3 linked regions of the Mus musculus genome follow. The protein of the gene in region 1 purifies or fractionates together with the protein of each later gene. This does not show direct contact. Links are inferred from orthologs where the notes say so. Each region holds a gene or a part of one and is shown on either strand. Other genes may lie near its edges.

Evidence for each region. The genes of interacting proteins can lie anywhere in the genome.
Region 2: the proteins of Ciao2a (region 1) and Ireb2 purify together in Homo sapiens (affinity purification with mass spectrometry; 3 studies listed by BioGRID and IntAct, with this or other methods). This does not show direct contact. The link is inferred for Mus musculus from reciprocal best matches to the Homo sapiens genes CIAO2A and IREB2.
Region 3: the proteins of Ciao2a (region 1) and Ciao3 purify together in Homo sapiens (affinity purification with mass spectrometry; 4 studies listed by BioGRID and IntAct, with this or other methods). This does not show direct contact. The link is inferred for Mus musculus from reciprocal best matches to the Homo sapiens genes CIAO2A and CIAO3.

The regions. Positions count from the first base shown.
Region 1 is NC_000075.6:66,128,399-66,134,616, reverse strand, and holds part of Ciao2a (cytosolic iron-sulfur assembly component 2A isoform 1 precursor), read right to left. Parts: intron 2,091-6,218; coding exon 1,926-2,090; intron 1,186-1,925; coding exon 1,136-1,185; intron 965-1,135; coding exon of another isoform or gene 895-964; intron 1-894. UniProt on the Homo sapiens protein: Component of the cytosolic iron-sulfur protein assembly (CIA) complex, a multiprotein complex that mediates the incorporation of iron-sulfur cluster into extramitochondrial Fe/S proteins.
Region 2 is NC_000075.6:54,896,896-54,901,754, forward strand, and holds part of Ireb2 (iron-responsive element-binding protein 2), read left to right. Parts: intron 1-591; coding exon 592-727; intron 728-2,492; coding exon 2,493-2,577; intron 2,578-3,054; coding exon 3,055-3,211; intron 3,212-3,552; coding exon 3,553-3,677; intron 3,678-4,859. UniProt on the Homo sapiens protein: RNA-binding protein that binds to iron-responsive elements (IRES), which are stem-loop structures found in the 5'-UTR of ferritin, and delta aminolevulinic acid synthase mRNAs, and in the 3'-UTR of transferrin receptor mRNA.
Region 3 is NC_000083.6:25,778,917-25,783,775, reverse strand, and holds the end of Ciao3 (cytosolic iron-sulfur assembly component 3), read right to left. Parts: intron 4,827-4,859; coding exon 4,692-4,826; intron 4,279-4,691; coding exon 4,160-4,278; intron 3,934-4,159; exon of another isoform or gene 3,662-3,933; coding exon of another isoform or gene 3,622-3,661; intron 3,470-3,621; coding exon 3,340-3,469; intron 2,969-3,339; exon of another isoform or gene 2,897-2,968; coding exon 2,824-2,896; intron 2,536-2,823; coding exon 2,398-2,535; intron 2,089-2,397; coding exon 1,931-2,088; intron 1,761-1,930; coding exon 1,522-1,760; 3' UTR 767-1,521; coding exon of another isoform or gene 598-766; 3' UTR 444-597; downstream 1-443. Other genes in the region: Haghl (hydroxyacylglutathione hydrolase-like protein), read left to right, coding at 194-273, 598-766.

The sequences.
Region 1 (6,218 bases):
AATAGCCTCAAACTCAAGGCCAGCCTGGGCTACATAATGAGATCCTGTCTCAACAACAACAAATCAAAATCATGAAAGATAAGAGCAAGGAACTACTCCTGCCTAAATGAAGTAACTACTGAGAACCATTACTGGGGGAAGGCAGGAAGGGGAGGGAACACTACCACCATAAAGGGTATTACTGGAAACAATAATATATATATTATTTATTTATATATGATTATTATATACAATTTATTATACATATAATTTATTTAATGTGTATAAATGTTTTACCTGCATGTATGTATGTGTACCATGTATGTGCCAATTGAAGTCAAAAGAAGAACTAAAGTTATAGATGATTGGGAGCCACCATGTGGACGCTGGGAATTGAACTCAGGTCCTCTGCAAGAGCAACCACACTTAACCACTGAGCCATCTCCTCAGCCCCAAAACTCCATTTTAACAAAAAGTGGGAACAACTCAAATGTCTAAAAACTGGTAAGAAAGCAAAATTAAACAAGGTCTCTCCATTTAATTGGATATTATTATATGACACTACCTAAGAATAAAACACACACTTTAAAACATCAACACTAAAAACATAGTAAGTCAAGGAATCCACACACTGTCTAATTTCATTAAAATGAAATATCCCAAATTATGGAGACTGGAAATAGATGGTTGTTCTGTACAGAGAAGCAGAGAAGAGCATGCTGTAAGCACAGAGAGACTACTTATTAGCAAATCAGGGCTGCCCCCTCCTTCCCTCTCTCTCTCTCTCTCTCTCTCTCTCTCTCTCCCTCTCTCTCTCTCTCTCTCTCTCTCCATTTTTGATACAGGATCTGGCTGTGTAGCCCAGGCTACCATCCTCTCTTAACCTCCCAAGTGGTGGCGTTACTCATGTCTTACCGTACTTGACTGCATGCAGGATGCAGGGGATGCAAGTGTTCAACAGTGATTCAGAGATGGCTGCAGAACCCTGCAGGAGTTATCAGAGACTACTCAGCTATCTACTTCAGGTGGCTTATATGATGTGTGAATTACACCTTAATAGGTGTCACAAGTCAAGCTGGAGCAGGGACGGGGCTCTGCGGCAGGTATGTGAGGCTCACGTGAGGCCCTGGGTGTGAGGCGGAAGCAAGCTTCTTACCTTGTGTTTGAACGGCAGACACCGCTGAAGCTTTACTCTTAGGCACAGCCCTATGATGGGGGAAAAATCTTCATTATCTTTGTATCCCTTCTTACTGGCTCTAGAAAAACCATAAAGTTCAAACTGCATCCACCCAGTGTGGGTCTCCTGTGACCTTGGCACCATGAGGAAATAGAGTTTCATGCCTGCCCCAGTAAATCCAGGGAACTGGGTCATTCTATACATGGTGAACCAAGGTCACAGTGTAAGGTGACTGTTGGTGGTAGTACCACAGCAGAGCTGGCACTGACCAGAACAAAGGAGCACCACAAAGGCCAGGCCTTTTCTGCTGGGCCAGCTGGCACTCAGGCATAATGGACGGACCCTTAAGCTTTACAAAATACCAGAAGACAGGCATGGTGGCGCACACCTTTAATCCAAGCACTCTGAGGCAGAGGCCAGCGGATCTCTATGAGTTTGAGGCCAGCTTGGTCTAGGACAGCCAGAGCTACAAAAGGAAACCCTGTCTTTAACCCTACCCCCCAAAATAAGCCACTGGTAAGCCAAGCCAGGCAAAAAATTAAAACAAAGTATATTTAAAACCACTTATTTAACTGCCGTCGGGATGACTTAGCAGGTCTCTGTTGGCACATGGTACCCAGACATACATGCAGATAAAACAACCCATACACAAAAAACTTAATTAAAAATGTAAGAAGCATTCATACAGACACACATTTACCAATAAAAACTAGAATTCCCATGCACCCATGTACACACACATGCACACACACACACACACAACCCTTACCAATAAGAGTTGCCAAAGAGCAATGAGGTACTGTTGGTGTGAACTTGATAATAACCAAATAGTCATCTTCATTTATTTCTTGAACTTCCACACAACTCTCTGTGACCACTTCCAGTTCTTCTAAAGTATTGGGCTTTTCTGGGTCCCGGATAGTTCGAATCAAATCTAGAAGCATCAGAGACAAGGTATTAAATTAAAATGTGAATATTCTAAGTGAGGATGAGGATTCTTATCTCAATTGAAGCACGGACTAGTTTCAAATGTGTATGTTTTGCCTCCATACATATCTGTGTATTCTGTGTATGTAGTGCCCACAGAAGCCAGACCAGGGCCTCAAGATCCCTGGAATGACAGCTGTGAGTGGCCATGTGCATAAGAAACTGAACACAGGTCCTCTGCAAGAACAGCCAATGCGGAGCCATCTCTTCAGGCCCAACCACCCCGCCCTAACTTTCTTTTTTCTTTTTTTTTCTTTTGTTTTTTCGAGACAGGGTTTCTCTGTATAGCCCTGGCTGTCCTGGAACTCACTCTGTAGACCAGGCTAGCCTCAAACTCAGAAATCTGCCTGCCTCTGCCTCCCGAGCGCTGAGATTAAAGGCGTGCGCCACCACTACCCGTCCTCCTAATTTTCTTTTAATCAAATATTTCAGCAACTCCCAAGTATCTGACAGAAATTTCTACTAATAGAAAACAATTTTCTTAGATCATTATTCGTCCATATCCAAGTCTTAATTCAAAACCATGGGAACTGTGAATGGGGAGAATGTGAAGGGAGCCCTAGAGGAGTCTTGGTTGGAGAGAAGGTGGGATTAAGCCTTTGAAAATGAACAGCATCCCCTTAAGACAGAAGGAAAGAACCATCAGGGGCTTCCTTGGCTTGTTTCCAGCAAAGGAAAGAGCAGAGAAGAAGGGTGGGGCCCAACCACCAGGGTATTTCACAACTAGCCACAGGCAATAGGGATTCCTCAGGAGATTTAGAATAAGGAAGTAGGAAGGGCAGTGGGGTACAGTCAACTGCTAATTTACTCACACTAGCTGCAAGAACCAGAACCAAAGAGAAGAGCTAGAGACGGCCACTGAGAAGCTCGGCTTAAAATCAGCAGATGACAACAGGGACAGAGACAGGACAAGCAACTAAGTTCCTTGTTTCACAGGAACTAACATGTGGCAACTCTCTGCATCCAGAAGACAAGCATACAGAGAGGAGGGAGAGGACTCAGATTTATTTATTTATTTATTTATTTATTTATTTGGTTTTTTTGAGACAGGGTTTCTCTGTGTAGTCCTGGCTGTAACTAAGTTCCTTGTTTCACAGGAACTAACATGTGGCAACTCTCTGCATCCAGAAGACAAGCATACAGAGAGGAGGGAGAGGACTCAGATTTATTTATTTATTTATTTATTTATTTATTTATTTGGTTTTTTTGAGACAGGGTTTCTCTGTGTAGTCCTGGCTGTCCTGGAACTCACTCTGTAGACCAGGCTGACCTAGAACTCAGAAATCCACCTGCCTCTGCCTCCCAAGTGCTGGGATTAAAGGCGTGGGCCACCACCGCCCGGCTGATGACTCAGATTTTAAGCTCAAGTATTTGGAAGAACAGTATTAAGATTAAAAGGGGGTGGGGATAGAGGCTGGCTGGGGAAGACACCGTGCTTTAGCCAAGCCTGAAGACATGAGTTCCATCTCTCAGACCCACATGGTAGACAGACTCATAGAAAATTAGCTCAGTTTCATATGCAGTGTTTGTGGAGGTGCTTCAAACAATGAAATGTTCTAGCAAAGTTGAACAGTTGTATAGTGCACACCAAGTGCACACCAAGGCTAGAGTGGTTATTGAACTCACAGAATCCATCAAGAAGTACTTGGCTCACCGGGCGTGGTGGTGCACGTCTTTAATCCCAGCGCTTGGGAGGCAGAGGCAGGTGAATTTCTGAGTTCGAGGTCAGCCTGGTCTACAGAGTGAGTTCCAGGACAGCCAAGGTTACACAGAGAAACCCTGTCTCAAAAAAAAAAAAAAAAAAAGCACTTGGCTGGATATTTGGATATTGCAGTTACCATGAATGCCTTGAAACAAAAAAAAAAAACATTGTCTGGGCCCTATCCTAGGCAGTCTAACTTAGCTGGTTAAAGCATGGCCCGAACAGCTAGACTTCTTAAAACTCCTCAGATTATTTTCTTAAAACTTTGTTGTTGTTGTTGTTATCTTTATGTTAAGAATGTTTGTCTACATGTGCCTGGTGCCTACAGACATCTGAAAAAGGCTTCAGATTCCCTGGAACTGGAAGTTAGGATAGTTGTGAGCCACCAAGTTGGTGCCAGGAATCGAACCCTGGACCTCTGCAACAGCAGCAAATGCTCTTAACTGTTGAGCACTCTCAGGTTATTCTTATAGGCAGCCTAGTTTGAGGCTCCTTGGTATAGAGGGAAGGAAATCCACAAATGGATCCTTGAAAAGTTGGCTGTGGTGGCACAGGGCTATAATCCTGGCACTTGGGGGGCTGAAGGATGAAAATCTTCACTTCTGGGCCATTCTAGGCTACACACTGAGTCCCTATCTCAAAATGGAAAAGCAAAGAAGAACAGAGAAGGGAAAGGAGAAGTGTTTAACCATAGCAAAGGCTACAGAACAACACAAGTGAGAGAATTTGAACTCAAGGCTATCCCGGGCTACATAGTAAGACTCTCAAAAAGAAAAAAAGGCCAGCATGAAAAGCAAAGCAAAAAGAATCAGAAAAGGAAAGCCAGAGGTGGCCAACATTAAACACTACAGGACAACTCAGGCTAAAGTGGTCTTGGATTTGTTATTCAACAAGTCACTTATAAGAAAGCAGTTCGGTAGAGAGGTGCAAAGTGGGGAGCCAACAGATCAGAGAATGCACCCCAAAAGCCTTGGCAGGAGGGTGGAGCAGAGGCTTTAGAATCTTGACAAAGCTTAGGGACATTTGAGTACGGTTTTTAGTTCAAATGGAAGGTTGACAGAAGGGAAATCACACTGTGAATGGAGCTGGGTGAAAGGAAGCAGAAGACAAGGGGATTAAGAAGGCTGGACCTCAAGGAGGTCGGTGGCAAGGACACGAGGTTGTCCTGCCTCAAGCTCACAGAGGAAAATAAAATAGAATAAAAAGGAGAGTGATAAAGGGAGGGCAGGGGAGAGAAGCAGGATTTCAGGTGAGTGGGTCTGGTGTTCTCAGGAGCCTGGGGTCTGTTCTACTACTCATACCTTACCCAGAGACCTAAAAAGCAGCCAGGAAAATAAATCCATCAAACTTTCCTTCCCTAGACTGTCTTCTGGCCTTACCAATAAAATAGGACATTTGAAAATGCAGATAGGAGCTGGGCATGGTGGCGCACGCCTTTAATCCTAGCACTCGAGAGGCAGAGGCAGGCAGATTTCTGAGTTCAAGGCCAGCCTGGTCTACAGAGTGAGTTCCAGGACAGCCAGGGCTACAAAGAGAAACACTGTCTCGAAAAACCAAAAAACTCTGTCTCAAAAAACTAAAAAAAAAGAAAAGAAAAAGAAAATGCAGATAGGAAAGAGGATAAACTTCCCCTTCATGTAGCAGGTTATTACCGGATTGGAAAAGCAGGGTTTCCCCCCTCCTCTCCTCGGCTTCTCCTTCTAAGCTTCATTTGTAAAAGCTGTATTATAGTCTTTGAACACTACTAAATCCTGAAATTAAACCTCACCTCTTACCCCTTACTGAACACCTCTAGCTTTCTAGTGATTTGAGAAGTTTGATTTTTTTAAAAAGATATCAAGCTTGTTCTCACATTACTCTCCTAATTTCCTCTCACCCACAACTAAGTTTTTGTTGCTCTGTATTGACATGAAGGTCTGCTCTTCCAGAGGACTTAAAATCAGTTCTCAGCACCCACAACTGGCAATACACAACCTCCTGTAACTCCAGCTTCAGGGAGACCCAACACTTCTGGCCTCCATGGACACACACAGACTTAAAATTAAAAACAAACAAACAAACAAACCTCTTTTTTAATACTTAAAAAGATGATTCATTTATATTTAAAAGTTTCAATGGGTGGTGGTGGTGGTTGCGAGATGATTCAGTGGGAAAAGGGGCCTGCCACCAAATAAGCCTAACCTCCTGGGTTTCCATCCCCAGGAGCCACTTGCTGGAAGGAGAAATCTAACGCCAGCAAGTTGTCCTCTGACTTCCATATTTGCACTATGACTTGCATGTGTATGTGCAAACATGCACAAAGTAACTAAATGTAATAAAAGTGATTTGAAACTTCAGTATTCAATTCCAGTCTACAGTCTAAAGAAACAGCCT
Region 2 (4,859 bases), about 11 Mb from region 1:
AATCACAGTATACTGTGCAAGGGGAGAATTACTGACACGTACCATCAGTTTGTGTACCGGGTGACAGCATTACCAATGTTAAATTGCTCTTTGTTTACTATGATTATGGCATTGATTCCATCAGTAGCAGTTCTATATGAATGTTCTTTTTTTCCCTGTTTGTGTGATGCTGTGGTGTTAGCCTTACCCTCCTTACCCTGCAGCATGATGCTACTTTACTAAAAATTTCAATTTGTCTTCAGTGAACTGAATAGGTAGAGTAAAATGCACACAGTAATGATATTAAGGTTTTATGGGCCTGAGAGATGGCTCAGAAGTTAAGGGCACTGGTTGTTCTTCCAGAGGTCCGAAGTTCAACTCCCAGCAACCATATCTGCTGCTCACAACCATCTACACTGGGATCTGATGCCCTCTTCTGGCATGCAGGTGTACATACAGATACAGCACTCATAGACACTAAAACATAAATCTTAAAACTTTTTTTTAGCTTTTTATTATAAATTGTAGTTGACGATATTAAACACCCTTTTCTTGGTTTTTATTCTAATGTGAAGGGTACGTTGTCATAGTCATTGTTTGTTGATTTTACAGGTCTTCTGGCTAAAAAGGCTGTTGAAATTGGTCTACGAGTTAAACCTTATATACGAACAAGTTTGTCTCCAGGCAGTGGGATGGTTACACATTACCTCAGTTCAAGTGGAGTGCTACCCTATCTTAGCAAGCTAGGGTGAGTGACACTTCTGTTATTTATACCTAGACTGGTATTCAGCAGTTAATAAATATATTTGTTAGGAATCAAAGAGAGGTAAAAAAGGAAAAATACCACTTAAAAGGGTGGATGGCCCCCTCAGAGTTGGTAAAAGACACACCCAGACACCAAGTTCTCAGCAAAAAGGAAATTTTATACCCAGAGGGGCTAGCAGATAGGGGAGGGTACAAAGTCAGACAGCACAGCAGCAAGAAGCAAGCAAGTGTTTTGGTTTTTTTGTTTGTTTGTTTTGTTTTTTTTGCAGGAGTGGATTTTTAAGGAGAAAAGGGGGAAATCTGTGCTCGGATGAGTTGGTGAATCTTGATAGCCAGATAATGAATTTTGATTGTTGGATCTTGGTGTTTAAATCTCAGGAATGAGTCAGTGACAAATAAGGGAATCAACCTTGGGAACAAGCTTTAGCAATACAGTTTAATGGTGTTTATTTTAGCAAGGGGAGAAGGAAAGATGAAAGAAAAAACCTGTCAGCGCCATGCTTGCCGTGCTCGGGCATGCCAGAGCCCTTCACTTGTTCCCTTGCCATCCACATAGTCTGGTGCCTAAGAAGCAGGTGGTGGTTGGGAATAGCAGAGGCACTTGGAGGTCAAGCACATGGTCTGTAGCCCTCAGGACAGGGCTGTTACTGTTAAGAGTGGGGTGAGGAAAATCTAATTCTCATGAGTCATGTTCAGTTCAGAAAAGAGTAAAGGAATAATACAAGTTGGATTAATTTAATTGAACACATCTTTAATCCCAGCACTTGGGAGACCGAGGCAGGGGGATATCTGAATGTGTGACCAGCCTAGTGTACAGAGGTAGTTCGAGGTCAGACAGGGCTACAGGGAAATCTTGTATTGGGGAGCAGTGGGGGGAATTGAACAGATTGTCTTGATTTAGGTTTTGCAAAGTTATTGGGTCTGCAATGTGAGGTTAATTTATCTATGAAGCTTAAGAGAAACAACTTCTAAATTTCTTTCATATTTAAGTGATAACAGTATAATTTTAGAAAATAATATTTTTACATAAATTATCCTTTTTTAAGGCCTCATAAATTTTAGATTTTTTTTTTTTTAATTTTGCTTTTAGAGCAGCAGCTAAAGTAATTTAGAGGCTTATGTTTGTAATCTTACTTTGGAATTACTGTCAGGGATTCTTGTTAGGTGTAGTTTATTCAGAGTTGAATAATTTATTTCCACTAGTAAATTGGGACCTTTGATGACTGTTATAGTGAGGTCATCCTTATGTTTTATAGTTTGAAATATGCCTTTCGAGTGGAAACACATGATTTTTTGTTTGTTTGTTGTTGTTGATTTTGGTTTTTTGAGACAGTGTTTCTCTGTGTAGCCCTGGCTATCCTGGAACTCACTCTGTAGACCAGGCTGGCCTCGAACTCAGAAATCCACCTGGACACATGATTTTTTTAAAAGGGGTTTTATTAGTTCTAGTTAGAGCAGAGGAGCTTTCTGATACTGTTAAAGTTCTTTTGATCTAGTACAGATAGTGTGGCTATGTGGCCTCTTCTGAGATTTATAATCAGTTCAAAGAACATGCTACCAGTGAGACTTTAATGTTTAAAACTGTGAGATTCATGTGTTGATGGTTAATTCTTACGAAGCAAGCAATCTTACTGTGATAAGGGAAATAAAGAGAGAAGATGCTCACAACCATCTAGAAGGGAAATGCAGAGAGAAGACTTGTCCTTTCTTTACATACTGTCCAGTCATGCTTCACTTTTTAAATGCAGGTTTGACATAGTTGGCTATGGATGTTCAACATGTGTAGGAAATACAGCACCTTTATCAGAAGCAGTTTTGAATGCAGTAAAACAGGTAAAAATGTAGATTAGCACATCTAAGTGCATTTTTATTGTTTATTTTTAATAAGGATGCTTCAATATTTACTTAAGCATCAGAGTTGATTAATAGATGCTAGTTTAAAAACTCAGACACACTTATGAATGCAATTGTGAGCCTCTTTGAGAGTTGCCCCAGCTTGTTTCAGCTATATCATGTTAGTAAATTATAAACAGTGTGTATATTGATATTTATACTGGAAACTCTCAGGAAACGTAACTTGTGGATCTTAAAATAATGCAAAGAATTACTTGTATATTTTAAAACTAATTCCTTAGTAATATAAGGAACTATTAAAGTATAAGAATTGTAGTTCTATACTTAAAATTAAAACTTAGTAAAAATTTTTGTTGTTGTTGTCTGGATCTCACCTAAAATTAGTTGAGACAAATTTTATAATTGTGTGAGTATATATAAGCTCTTGAATCAAGTATATTTGTTTTCCCCCCTTAGGGTGATTTGGTTACCTGTGGAGTTTTATCTGGAAACAAACATTTCGAAGGCCGTCTCTGTGATTGTGTCCGTGCCAATTATCTCGCCTCTCCGCCCTTAGTGGTGGCTTATGCCATAGCAGGCACAGTGAATATAGACTTCCAGACAGAGCCTTTAGGTGTGTTTTCTATATATTATCTGTATGTTTATATGCATACTTATGTGCACTGTCTCCAGAAGTTGTTAAAACCATACTCTTGATATGAAAGAAAACATGCAATACTTGTTTACTTTCTTAAAACATCTATTTTTCTGCTCTTAGTGTCTGTTGATATGAAGAATGTAATATGTATATGTAATTGATTTGCAATATTTAAACCTGAAACACACCCCATTGTTAAATCAGTTACTTGATTTCTGTGACTTTTCTTTGAAAAGATAGAAATGCTTTGAGGTGTTGGTTTTTGGTGGTGGTTGTTGTAATATGTGTACTGAATACCATGTTACAATTTTGATCAGGTACTGACTCTACGGGCAAGGAAATTTACCTGCATGACATTTGGCCTAGTCGAGAAGAAGTTCATCAGATGGAGGAAGAACATGTTATATTGTCAATGTTTAAAACACTAAAAGAGAAAGTAGAGGTAAGAGTCTTGTGGGGCTTTGTTTTTAGTTTGTTCTTTAATTTGAAGCAAGGTCTCACATAGCTCATACTGACTGAGACCTCACTCCTTGTAGCCCACGCTGTCCTATGAACTCAGCAATCCAGTCCTCAGTTCTGGGGTTTCAGGCATGATCCATGTGTCTTGCTTTCTAGACAGAATAAAAATTTTAATTTTGAGTATATAATTTTTATGGCTGAGTTTTTTTTTTTTTTAAAGCCTCTGTGTGTGTGTGTGTGTGTGTGTGTGTGTGTGTGTGTGTGTAAAACCTGTTAAAAACATTGGTGGTGGTATAGGCCTTTAATCCCATCACTCAAGACAAAAGCCTCGGCCACACAGTGAGACCCTTGGGGGGGGCGGGGCGGAGGTGTTCTTGATGACATTTTCATGTTTGTTCTCTGTACTCCTTTATTGCTCTTGCTCTCTCCTGTCCCCACTATTTCCTGCTGGTCTCCTCCTTTTCCCAAACAGTATCCCTTCTATAGTCACATGTGTGTATGTTCCTGCAGACATTTACAAATCTTTGTATGTGAATGATGTGTGTGTTTCTGTGTATGAATGTGGGCCTGTGTATACCATGGCATGTGTGGATGTCAGATAATAGCCTCAGGTATTAGTCCTTATCTTTCACCATATTGGAGAAAAGATCTTGTCTTGCCACTGCCTCTGCTAGCCTAGCTGATAGACAAACCTCGAAGGATTCTCTTGTCTCTACCTCCTGTTTTATCCATAAGACTGATTTGCAACCTTATATCCTGCTTACATGACTTCTGGGGGCTCAAACTCAGAAACACTGTGTCAAGTGATTTGTACCCATTAATCCTTCTGCCTACTCATAGTTCTGCCTTCTCTTTTATATATAACTTTAAATATGGGCAATATAACTCTCTTCTGTCCGGTGAGCTTCTCAGCCAGAATGTCATGCATTTGGCATATATGTTTTATTTTGAAATCTAGATTCCACATAAGAGAAGAAAATACAATATCTGTACTTCTGAATCTGACTTATTTTAACATAATGGTCTCTAGTTTTATTTTCTTGGTTTTTGGCTTTTTGGTTTTTGGAGACAGGGTTTCTCTGTGTAGACCTGGCTGTTCTGGAACTCACTTTGTAGACCAGGCTGGCCTTGAACTCAGAAACCTGCCTGCCTCTGCCTCCCAGGT
Region 3 (4,859 bases), on another chromosome or scaffold:
TCCATTGCCAGTTGGGTGGGAGAGGGGGAAGGGGGGGGGACGGAAGTAGCCTTCCTGAAGTTTGGGGTCAGTTAGAAAGGGAATCTCTGGGGAGTCAGAATGAGGCTTCTGCTGACTTCAGCTGGCTGGGCCTGGGGGTTGCCCTGCTGTGCCGTAACCTCCCCGTGGCCGTTGGTTCTTCTGTGCTTTGCAGGAGAGGGATGACGAGGATATTCCTACTGTGCCTTCGACGCTGGGCGAGGAGCTCATGTACAACCCTTTCCTGAGGGTGACGTGAGTACATCTGTGTCCTGGGTCTTCCTGTGGTGGGGCCTGGGCCCTATCAGTGGGTAGGGCAACCTCACGAGGCTGTGTGCACTGCCAGTGACAAGTCTCCCCATGGAGCAGTCTCAGGACTAGCCTGGCCTCCTCAGGGCCTCTTTGGCAGTCATTTGAGTAGTTAGGAGGGTATCTAGGGACTATTTATTGAGCTGAATGTCCCTGGCACCAGAGAAGGTCATTTATTAAGGGCCCTCCTTCCATCCACCGCCCTGCTGGGCCCCACCCCCATGGGCAGCTGGCCAGCCCCACAATTCCCCAGCATATTCTTCCCTGCAGAGAGGATGCAGTCCGTGCGTTCACAGGCCAGGTGGCCCCAGCCCAGGTCCTGGAGGCCCTCTGCAGGGAGCGAGCGCGCTTCCAGCCTGCTGTGGAGCCACCACAGCCGCAGGTTCGGGCACTCCTGGCCTTACAGTGGGGGCTTCTGAGCACACACCAGAAAAAGTGAACTATGTGGGGAACCGGCTTGTCCCCACACTCCCCCAGGGACCCCTGCCACCCTGCTTTGAAGAACCAGCAAGTGGTGTCTTGTCTCTACTGCTCATGGAGCCCTATAAGTGGGATCTGTAGGAGCTCTTGTGGGTCCAGAGACATATCCTGGGGACTGAGGAGGGTGAATAAAACTTTGAAAGGCCCAGTGTGGTACCAGACACACAGTGGATCCTTCCAGAGGTGCAGGTCTGTTTATTAGTGGTGAGACCCAGCTATGGAGTTCTCATAGGCATAAAGGCTTGGTACTGACAGACTGCCCAGAGCCCAAGGTCCTGAGAACAGTTTTTAGAAGCCTGGGTGCCTCAGTAGGTACCTGCCCTATGTGTTACAGCTTTGGGGATTAGCCATAGAAATGAAACCCCTCACACTCAGACAACTACAGCCAGAGGGCAGGGCTCACAAGATGTCCATGGCCCCAGGCCAGTGGAAGAGTCTGGAACCTCAGTGAACCTACTTGGCTACTTCTGATCCTGCCTGCACTTTATGTGGGCTGCAGGCAACATTACCAGCCAGAGACATGGGTCACGCATCTCCAAGGACCCACGTGCAGCCAGTGCCCCACTGGAGCACAGAGTCCAACACATCCTTGGAGCTCTCCTTGAATTGAGGGTCTCGGGCGTATCCTGTGGGCTTTGTTTCAGATACCCACACAGTCTAGTCTTTCCGTGAGTCTTGGTGCTGGCCCCGGGGGTCTCACAGACTCAAGGCCTCCTACCACCTGATGCTCAGGCCTGAGCTGGGCTTCTCCACGGCATGGTATTGTGTGTGCAGCAGGCGGCTGGCCCGCTCTGAGTCCTCTCCTTGCAGCCAGTGCTGGTACAGCTCCTGGACCCCCGGTGCATCTTCGGGCGCCTCAGTCCTCACCATGCTGTACAGTCTTTCCAGCTGCTGAAGGAGCTCGCTGCCCTCTGTATCCGGAGCCTTGAGCTGGCCCCCTCCATTCAAGCAACCTGTGGTGGGGCAGGGGCATGGTTGACAGGATGTCAGGGTTAGCCCTCTGACCCCCTGGGTGTGGAGAGGGGGACATGCCCTCTTCCTGTCCTACCCCTTCCACCTCCCACTGGTGGAAAGGTGCTGTATTATCCCAGCAAGCAGAGCCTGCGGTACTAGGAGGAGCTACCTGAAGGGCAGGCCATTACTTCCACGTAATGGTAGGGACAGCGGCCTCGTTTCAACTTCTGCACGAGGTTCTGGATATTACGGAAACCATAGGCCACAGCAAAGCGCAACAGTACCTGGCCTTCCCTTTCCAGTGTCACTTCCTGGAAGTCCTTGTTCCTAAAAGTATAGGAGTAGGCTTGAGAAAACACACATTGCCATGAGAACCTGTCCCTGCCCAGGGTCAGAAGCCTTCTGGGGTTCAGTGCAGTACCAGCTGGCTCTGTCTTTTCCTGCTCGCACCGAGGGAGGGGTGATGGAGAAGTGGGGTATAGCTTGTATCCATGGCCCGACCAGATAAACTCATCCCTACCTTGATCTTAACATGGGGTTAAAGGGCAAGCACGAAGCCCAGCAAAGGTGAGAAACCCCAGGCCCAGATGCTCCGGGGGCTTCCCCCAAATTCACTTTAGTGCCTGCCCTGCTGACCTCAAGGGTTGATAGGTGACTTCAGCCACGTGGATTCCAAAGAGCTCTTGGGCTGCGTGCCGGAACACATGCTCCAGGTAGCCTCCTGAGCCTCCGCCCCGATGGCTGCTGGGCTCCTCAGCAGACACACTACTGGTTCTGGGAGAGGGGCGGGTCAGTGCAGGAGGCGCAACACAACTGAGGTCTCTTGTAGTCAGACATTAAGAACTATTCTTATGGCAGCCCCGGGAAGCTTAGGTGGCTTCTAGAGCAGGTTCTGCTTTGACACTGTACACTCAGCCACTCTTGGGCCCCAGCCAGGCTCTGGGGAGGCTTGGAGTCGCCCAGAAGGCAGCCTGGATAGAAAGGAGGGGACAAGACACTGCCCCACCCCACAGACAGCATCTGATCCCAAGTAAGGTTTCTCAGTCCCCACCACCAACTCACAAGCCATCCAGGGGCGCAGGCTCCAGCTCCGTGAGGGAGACTCCTTCTTCCTCCAGCAGCCTGAAGACTTCTCCTGCAGAGGAAGCACACAGCACATGCTCTCATTGATCTGAGATGGCTGTGCTGTCCACATCCCCGAGGGACACTTACTCCAGCTGGTGGTGGGACAGTGAGTCCGGCCAGCCCCTGTAGACCCACGGGAAGGCATTCCAGCCTGGAGCACTGTAAAAGGAGTCAGGGCAGGCTGGACTCCCTGATTTCTGTTCCTGACTTGTGAGTGGGAGGCAGGCTACTCCACTTAGAAGTAGGGTGAAGTTATGATCCACAGGGACTAGATGAGATCTTGCCTGCCCTCAGGACTCATTTCTGAACCAGCAAGGATGCGATCCTGGGGCTCCATTGGCCACAGGATCTTGGGAGGCGCTCACAGAAGCCCCAGCTGTGTCTGACTCCAGTGCTTGGCTCCAAGGGAGCCTCGTAGATAAGAGGGAAGAGGGTTATGCATGGTAGCTGCACCTGTTGTAAGGACACAGTCCACATCACGGGTCTGGTACTCCTGGTTGAAGAAGTCAGGTCTGGATGCTTCTAGCTTTTTATCATAGCAGGGCATCACTGTTACATGGTAGATCTTGTCAGGAGTCAGAAGCTACAGACAGAGTATAGAAAGCTTTAGTCTCATTGGAGCTAAGCTGAGAAGTGTGCGATGTGAGGCAGAGGTGACTTAAGTAGTTACTCATGCCCACTGGCCACCAAATGACCAGGGCCACGCATCGTCTCTCCCACCTCTGTTGATAACAGGCAGCTGCAGCCCAGGAGATTAAGTTCTCACTGCCTTTGAGAGAAGGTCAAGTCACAGTGGAGACAACACGGACTTGAGGGAAGTGTGGCCGTGCACACGCGGAGGGAATGCACGGGGCCGATGCCAGTGCTTGCGGCTGCAGCACTATACAAGCCAGCTCTCTTCCTCATCCTGTCAGTGCGGTGACTTTAGGCTAGAACCAGTGAATCACTGGAAATGACCTCAAGAGAGGTCTGATTTGTTCACCCAACAGCCTGTGGGGTGCTTCATGCCCTTGGTCTCCTGCTTCTTAAACATGGAGTCTAAGCCATTTCTGGGTGTGACAAGTATTTTTCTATAAGACCCGGGCCCCTTGGTGCTTGACAAAAGACAGCCCAGGTAGTAACAGGCTACCTGAACAAGACGGATACTCAGGCCGACATCCACTGGCGGTCACCCAGACACCCCCCAGAAGGGACCATGGTCACAGACAAGGCATCAGTGGTCAGCCAGCAGGCCATCTCTCACATATTGCCTGGGGATGCCCGGTCCTGTTACCTGCTGTTGTGCGAAGAAGTCTTTGACCAGGGAGCCCATAACCTGCTGTGGGGACCGGGCTGTACTGATGTAGGGGAGGATGAAGTTGCCATGTGTCTTCTCAGCATAGCAGATCCAGCCTGAGCCAAAAAGAACGAACAGGTTTGGGGTGAGCATAGGGCAGGTCTGGGGGTGGTTCGCAAACAGCTGCTCCTCTTGGCAGTAACATGACATTCTGGGGGTGGAGCGAGTCACAAAAAAAAAAAAAAAAGAAAGAAAAAGAAAGAAAGAAAGAAAAGAAAAAAAAAGAAAAGACTGTGGCATTAAAACACCCATCCTGTCATCACTGTCATGGGAAGGCTGGTATCCAGATGCTACCAACAGGAGCCAGTGATTCCAGGCAATGTCTCAGGCCTCAGGTACCTCCTAGGTGCCAACATTCCTACCCTTCCCTGAAGACAAGCCCTCCCCGTCATTTTCACCTTCCACGTCAAGCTGTCCACATCATGACCTCCCTAACTTCAATTAAACAACCATGCAGCCATGGACACACCTGGGCAGGCGGAAGCCAGCACAGGCAAGGCCTCTCTGGAGTTGGCTTGCTCTCGGAAGCGCTGCACAAACTCTTTTTGGCTTTCCAAAAGGCTGAAGTTCCTCGCGAAGGCAGTATCAAAGACAAAGTGGACCCCTGGAAAGTGATGGAAGGTGTCAGCGCCAAAGG